Linked DNA regions of Arabidopsis thaliana. The gene in region 1 interacts genetically with each later gene. Each region holds a gene or a part of one and is shown on either strand. Other genes may lie near its edges. The genes, in order: AT2G42940 and AGP6.

The links.
Region 2: of AT2G42940 (region 1) and AGP6, changing one enhances a phenotype caused by changing the other (phenotypic enhancement), as found in Arabidopsis thaliana (one study listed by BioGRID).

Annotation. Positions count from the first base shown.
Region 1 is NC_003071.7:17,861,504-17,865,146, forward strand, and holds AT2G42940 (Putative AT-hook DNA-binding family protein), read right to left. Parts: upstream 1,954-3,643; 5' UTR 1,768-1,953; coding exon 994-1,767; 3' UTR 751-993; downstream 1-750. Other genes in the region: AT2G42950 (Magnesium transporter CorA-like family protein), read left to right, coding at 2,556-2,689, 2,795-3,158, 3,248-3,436, 3,534-3,625. UniProt on the Arabidopsis thaliana protein: Transcription factor that specifically binds AT-rich DNA sequences related to the nuclear matrix attachment regions (MARs).
Region 2 is NC_003076.8:4,634,853-4,638,648, reverse strand, and holds AGP6 (arabinogalactan protein 6), read left to right. Parts: upstream 1-1,972; 5' UTR 1,973-2,108; coding exon 2,109-2,561; 3' UTR 2,562-3,005; downstream 3,006-3,796. Other genes in the region: AT5G14390 (alpha/beta-Hydrolases superfamily protein), read left to right, coding at 8-44, 145-381, 474-521, 613-1,098. UniProt on the Arabidopsis thaliana protein: Proteoglycan that seems to be implicated in diverse developmental roles such as differentiation, cell-cell recognition, embryogenesis and programmed cell death. Plays an important role during the formation of the nexine layer of the pollen wall.

The DNA.
Region 1 (3,643 bases):
ACTGACCATGTATAGTGCCTCTGTTGTGTGTGATCATTACAGGAAAGCGTCCTAAACGGAATCTTTCAAAGAAACTTCATCGAGAATGTTGGTTTGGAAACGCACAGCACAAGTTATTGATCCAAATCCAGAAAAGTTTGGAAGTTTGTGCTTGAAGGTTAGTTTATCATTCGATGTCAGTTTTAATGTGTTTGTGATTTATCTACTAAGTTTTCCGTGAGGTGCAAGGAGAAAACTTTCACATATTTTCGTCTTCACTGGCTAGATATAAGTACATAACGATTAGCTTCAGCATCACCAAACATGTTATTCTACCCACAGAAGTACTGATTTTAATTCAAGGTAGTTAGATAATGAAATAGGGATTTAGGGAAATAGGCTATGATGTTTAAGGTGATAGACGTACTAATGTTTTTGGCATTGCTCATGAAAGTACCCAATCATAAACATGAGAAACCGCGTTTATTTCCTTAATCCCCAGATATCTGAAACGTCAAGAGTTTGTATCTTGTTAGTGAAACCCTCAAAAATCCTCTAGAGATTTACAGATTATATAACATGTTGAAACTGGGATGAGAGTGGAGTAAAATCAGAAGTTGGTTGCTAGCTCAGTTTCCTAAATAATTGCTGGAACGGTGCAACTGCAATTGGTATCACACAGGTAAAGAGAAATCACCAGTTTGTATGATTCTTCACATGTTCTGCTATTAATGGCCAACATTCACTTTGGATCAAGGATAAAAATATTGTAATATTTTCGTATTAAATTAGAGGATTGTGCTTAAAATTCATAATCATTTACTTTTGCTTTTTTCAGTTTTTTCTTTTTACTGTTGCAGGTACAAACTACAAAGGGAGATAAGCTTCAGTTTCTTAACCAGACTTACGGTTCTCTCTCAACCTACAGACACATTTATCTTTGATTCCAAGGTAAATGAGATAATAAGATTAAGGCATTTGATATGATGAAACGTGGAGATTAGAGCAGTAGTATTAAGGTTTCGACATGACACGCTGCGCAGGCCCCCAAGAGTAGATATCAGAAGCCGAGTTTCCATTAGTGAGCAGATTTTGAGGCAGTCCATGAATGTCATCTAAAGGACGGGATCTTCCATTCTGGTAGTACTGCTGGTTCTGCATAGAGGCAGCTTCATCATCATCCATAGGAAGACGATCAAAAACAGCATTCATGAAAGATGCAGCCATGAGAACAACAGGACCAGATGCGATTAGCCCACCAACCACTCCTCCACCAACAACCTGTCCTTGAGGTCCGGCTAAGTAAATGGTCAGACCAGTTATTCCAAGTGGTGCTGGTGGAGGCAAGATTGATCCAAGCAATGAGAGGATCTCGTAACGTCCGTGTAATGTGACAATTGCTCCTGATGAAGCTGGTTGCCTTAATGTCACATTGGTGACACAACCATTGGCACTGAGAATGCAGAGACCTCTCTGTTTCCTTCTTGCAAAATCCGATAAAGTCTCACAGATGTCACAACCTGAGCTGATCTCAACGGCGTTAGCTCTGAGGGAATTTGGACTGTCGTGAGTCACAATGATTGGTGGTTTGGGTTTGTTCTTGGAGCCAGCGGGTCTGCCACGTGGCCTCTTAGCCATCTCTCCTTCGATTGATGAAACCGGTTGGACGGCTTTGGGTAATGCTCTCAGGTTGTTGTTGGTGTTGCCTCTCTCTGTTGCTTCATGGTTCCTCATTGGAACAGACTTGGATCCTACAGAGGTTGGAGTTAGAGCTGTACCTCCAGCCATTGTTATGAATGTTGTTATATGTTCAACTGAAAGATTCAGAAAATTTGTGAGGAGTTTGTGAGTTTAAGTAAGGAGATTTTGGTGAATTATTAAATGGTAGAGACACCAAAAGAATGATTGTGAGGAGTAGGAGATGGTTAAGTTGTCACCAAAAATTGTGATTAATAGTTAACAAATTTATTTTGCAAAAAAAGAAAAAAAAGAAAAGTTTCTGGCAGCCTACTTCTCAACAGATGATTAAGTATTTGATTCATGACAATTGTCTTCTTTAACAGAGAGATTCATAATAATGCTTAAACATCTTGTAGCTATTTACAACCAAATTTATACCCTTTTTGGGACCAAAACTAAAATCAAATACTGATCGAGAGTTGAGAAACAACAAAAAATGAGAGTCGTCCACTGCTCTGTATTTTATCGCCTTCCATACTCGACTCTTATTGGGCTTTTAAATTGGTCCTACAGAGAAGGTCCAATAAGGCCCAAAATATGTAAATGTACACGTGTGGTTGGTTCTTAGCCTTGACTTGTCGTCCTCGACCTGTGCCACATTCATCTCTCTCTCTCAGTCAAATTGTTGTTTTCTTTCTTCGAATCGGTGCAGAAAATTCAGGGAAGTTCTGGGGAAGGTTGTTGCGTTTGACTCCTTTGGCTTAGTTTTCTTTCGAATTCCGTGCTTCCTGATGATCTTACGTGAAATTGCAGCCTAAAATTTCGAGATTGTTTTTTTTACTCAGAAAACGAGATTTGACTGATATGAATCGAAAATCTGTGATTTAAAGTGAAGCATGAATGCGAATCACAAGAACGGGAATCCAGGTTACCATAATCTCTGGACCAATGGACTTATCTGTGCTTTCGAGTTTTGTCAAGGTCGTCGTAAGAATAACACAAGTGTCCATGGAGATTCGTCTCTCAGAATGTATGATGATTGTTACTAACTTGTTGATACATATTAGTGCTTAGTCTCTTTTTTTCTTTTTCTTGTAGAGTGTTTTTTTAAACAGTGTTGTTGTTGTTGTGATAGAAAGAAACAGGAATGTGAAACAGATCAATTTGGTACTGGTGAAGACGAAGAACATTCTAGGAGTTATTGGCGAGGAATTGGATGGGATAGGATCTCTGAGCTTGTTCAGACTGTTCAAGTTGATAATAATTGGGATTTGCGAAAGATTGACTTAGATGAGGATGAAGCCACTGTTGCTGAGCTTGCTGCTCCTTACTGGGAACGACCACTTGCTGGTCCAACTTGGTGGTGTCATCTTGATGCTACCCATCATGGTATTGCCTCGTGGTTACGTAATGCGCATTGGTTACATCCCGCGGTCAGTCTTGCTCTGCGGGACGAAAGCAAACTGATTAGTGAACGAATGAAACATATTTTCTATGAGGTAACAAAAATCTGAGTTATGTTGCTTCTTTGTAATGTGAGCTGTGCTATGATTCTATAGCTGAAATTTGTTAATATGTTGGTGGATAGGTGCCTGTCAGAGTTGCTGGTGGGTTGCTGTTTGAGCTGTTGGGACAATCAGCGGGTGATCCTTTCATCCAAGAAGATGACATACCTATTGTCTTAAGGTCTTGGCAAGCACAGAATTTTCTGGTGACTGCATTGCACGTTAAAGGCTTTGCCTTGAACATTAGTGTCTTAGGTATTACTGAAGTCCAGGTTTGTTCTTCTTATTTGAATCATTGTTTTCCTTTACTCGTTGATCAATTAGTCAAAACTGGTTTTCAGTCTTCTGGGGTTCCTTCTGTCTTACCAGGAAATGCTTATTGCTGGTGGAGCCTGCATTCCGAGAACCGTTCATGAACTAATAGCACATCTTGCATGCCGCCTTGCACGCTGGGATGATAGGTATTTCCCTTCCCTTGA
Region 2 (3,796 bases), on another chromosome or scaffold:
TTTGTAGGTACGATTACTCCGGGTATGGACAATCTACTGGAAAGGTTTGTCATTTTGAGAATCGACAAGTAGAGATATCGATAATGATTTTACCCGATTCGAGTGAAAAACTAAATAACCGAACTTGTTTTCGTGTGACTGCAGCCAAGTGAGCACCATACATATGCTGATATCGAAGCTGCTTATAAATGTCTTGAGGAAACCTATGGAGCAAAACAGGAAGACATAATCCTTTATGGCCAATCCGTTGGAAGTGGACCTACATTAGATCTTGCTGCTCGGTTGCCTCAATTAAGAGCTGCTGTTCTCCATAGCCCGATTCTTTCTGGTCTAAGAGTAATGTATCCAGTGAAGAAGACATACTGGTTCGACATCTTCAAGGTATTAAATACATCATTCTTAGATGGATCATTTTCGATTTTCTTGCTTTCCTCTATCTTTTTCACAGTGTCCACTTTTAACAATATTTGCAGAATATCGACAAAATACCTCTTGTGAATTGCCCGGTTCTCGTCATTCACGTGAGTTCCATATTCATTTTACTCTCTTTTCCTTTTTTTCAGTTCGAAAACTGAGTGTATATAACTCTTTGTGGTTCTTCTCTTGTGGCAGGGAACTTGTGATGAAGTTGTTGACTGTTCTCATGGAAAACAACTATGGGAACTCTCTAAAGAGAAATATGAACCGCTTTGGCTCGAAGGCGGTAACCACTGTGATCTAGAACACTATCCTGAATACATTAAACACCTTAAGAAGTTCATCACAACCGTAGAGAGAGATCTCTCCTCGAGGGCGAGCACGGCCCAATTAGAGAAACAGAGCAGCGATTTGGAAATGCCGAGGCAGAGCGTAGATAGAAGAGAGAAGCCGAGGCAAAGCGTTGATAAAAGGGAGAAAGAGAAACCTCCAAAGGGTCCTTCAAAGAAGAGTAAGCTGAGAATCACGTTCGAGCAGCACTTAGATCGGACTAGGAGAAGCGTTGACTTCCACGAAAAGGCAAGGAAGAGCGTTGACCATCATCAGCATCATCAGAATCATCATCAGATTGAGAGAGGAAGGAAGAGTGTTGATAGATTGGATAGAGTACGGTCTGAGTAAACCGGAGAAAATCTACCACACGTACATAAGTTGTTACAGAACAAGAACATTTGATCTTGATCTTGATTGGCCATTCTAATGTTTATGGTTTTTTGTTTTGATTTGTGAGTTATTCTCTAGTTTTATTTGGGTGTGTCATTTCTTGAATGGTGAAGCTTAAATCTTAAGCAAACAAATGAGAGAAATTAGGTCTTTACAATAACCTGCTACGTAATTTATTTGACCCAACTTTTACTCGTAATATCATGCTTGGTTTATGACTCGAGTCTTGAAGAGTAGAAAAGGAAGAAAATTCGAACATTGCAAATAAAATAAAGAGGAATTAAAAACTGCACTGCACATCAAACGATGATGACAAAAAAATGATGCATATAACACAAACAAAAAGATAGAATTAAAGAGAAGTTGTCTGTTTTCTAGCTCTGTCAGAACATTAACAAATGTCTTCGAAACCGTAAGCCCCAGAAAACTTCACCATGCAGAAGTTTGTATGTTTTGGACCTTTGGTAATGACTTGTGTGTCAGTTGTGTCTTCATATTGGGGTTTTAATTTGGGCTTAGTTCGAAAGTACAGTAAACTCTTTAAGATTGCCCAAAATGTATTTTGAGACTCTAATTCTAATTTTCTGCAATACAATCAATGAATCAAACAAAAGTCAAAATCTCAGTCTCAGCTACTAATATTAGTATTCAAAAAAAAAAAAATTGTGTACGAATCCATAAATAGAAGAATTGGTTTCTAGTCCTGTTTAATTTTAAAGTACTTTCTAAAAGTAGATTATAAGATTCATCGTTTCTCTCATATCCATCAATTTCCCTAATTTTTCTCATCTTCAAAAACATATAAATTCACACCCCCATGTCTTATTCTTACATCCTAAAGCTTTTGCAGTATTTCTCCATAGAATAAGAAAAATAAAACAAAAATAAATAAATAAAAAATACTGCTTTAGCTTTTGGAGTATCCTCCTTTTAATCTCAATAAAAAAACTATTAAAACAGAAAAAAAAATGGCACGTCAATTTGTCGTTTTGGTTCTATTGACTTTAACTATCGCCACCGCTTTCGCCGCCGACGCTCCCTCAGCTTCTCCCAAAAAATCTCCATCACCCACTGCCGCACCAACCAAGGCTCCGACTGCCACAACCAAGGCTCCTTCAGCTCCAACCAAGGCTCCAGCCGCCGCACCTAAATCATCTTCGGCCTCTTCTCCAAAAGCATCTTCTCCGGCTGCCGAAGGACCCGTCCCCGAGGATGACTACTCTGCCTCTAGTCCTAGCGACTCTGCTGAGGCACCTACCGTCTCCTCCCCACCGGCTCCCACCCCCGACAGCACTTCCGCCGCTGATGGACCAAGCGATGGACCCACTGCAGAGTCACCCAAGAGTGGTGCCGTGACAACTGCTAAGTTCTCTGTTGTCGGCACAGTCGCCACCGTCGGCTTCTTCTTCTTTTCTTTCTAAGTTAAGTCGTCCACGTTTTGGTTGGATGGATCAGAGATTTGTATAATCTTTTGAGTTGAGGCCGTAAATTTATTTTATATATACGTTTATAAATCGAGATTAATTGGAGTAAATATAAACCTAAATGTCATTTTGAAATTTGGTTAGAACAAATTTTCATATTTTGTTTAATAAACTTATTTTTTTTGGAAATGCTTATGATTTGTGTGGTCTAATGGTCTTTTAGTTCCTATTGTCATGTGTTGTGAATTAGATATCATGAATGATATAAATGGATATTTCTACATTTTTATTTTAAAATTTTGTTGGCTAATACTAAATTGTGTACTATTTATAATATTCATGATAAAGGCTATTACACATTTTTAATCAAGTTAATAAATTTAGGATGCTTTAATGTACTAACCTCTTTTGGTGCCAAAGTCAGCCAATGTGTAAATACAAGCTTAGAAACATATTTAAATATTTCATAGAAAATATTTAAATTTTGGAAATATTTGTTTGTGTGTTTTTTGACTGATTATTAAAAAAAGTTATGTAAAAATTTAAATTAATAGATAAGTTGTACTCCATCCGTCTTAATTTAGTTGTCGTTCTAGCACTAAAATATTGTTTTGTAATAATTGTCTTTTTTTTTTTTAAATGTAAATGTTTGGTACAAATTTTAATTATATACTTATTATTTAAATATTTTAACTAATAAAAAATTAGAAAATATATTAAGTAGATAAAATTAAATAAATATTTTTTTATAATTGCTGTGCAAAAACTTTAGAGGATAATTATTTTAAAACAGAGAATATTATAAACTATTTCTATTATTATCTTGTTTCAAAAATAAAAATAAAAATTTCGTAGTTAAATTAAAACATCTTAGAGAGAATGTGAAATCAAATAAATCAGTATATTATCGTATGGCATTTTTACAATTAAAAAATAAAGCAAAAAATATTATAATAAAAAATATAAAAAGAACAAAAACGTTAAAATAATATAATTAATCTTTGAGCCGAAACAAAAAATAATTAGTCAATGGAGGTAGGACCCGTAAGAATTGCTCTTTTTCCCATTCGCTCTGATTGGTTCCTTCTCTCTCCCAAACCTTTTCTTTTTTTTTTTGTTTCCTCTTCAGCTTTTCTTTTTGGCCAACGTCAGGTTTCTTAAATGGGCTCATTCGTAACTCCAAATTTTGCGTAGGTTTTAAGTTTTACCTGTAAAATACTAGTCAAACCTAG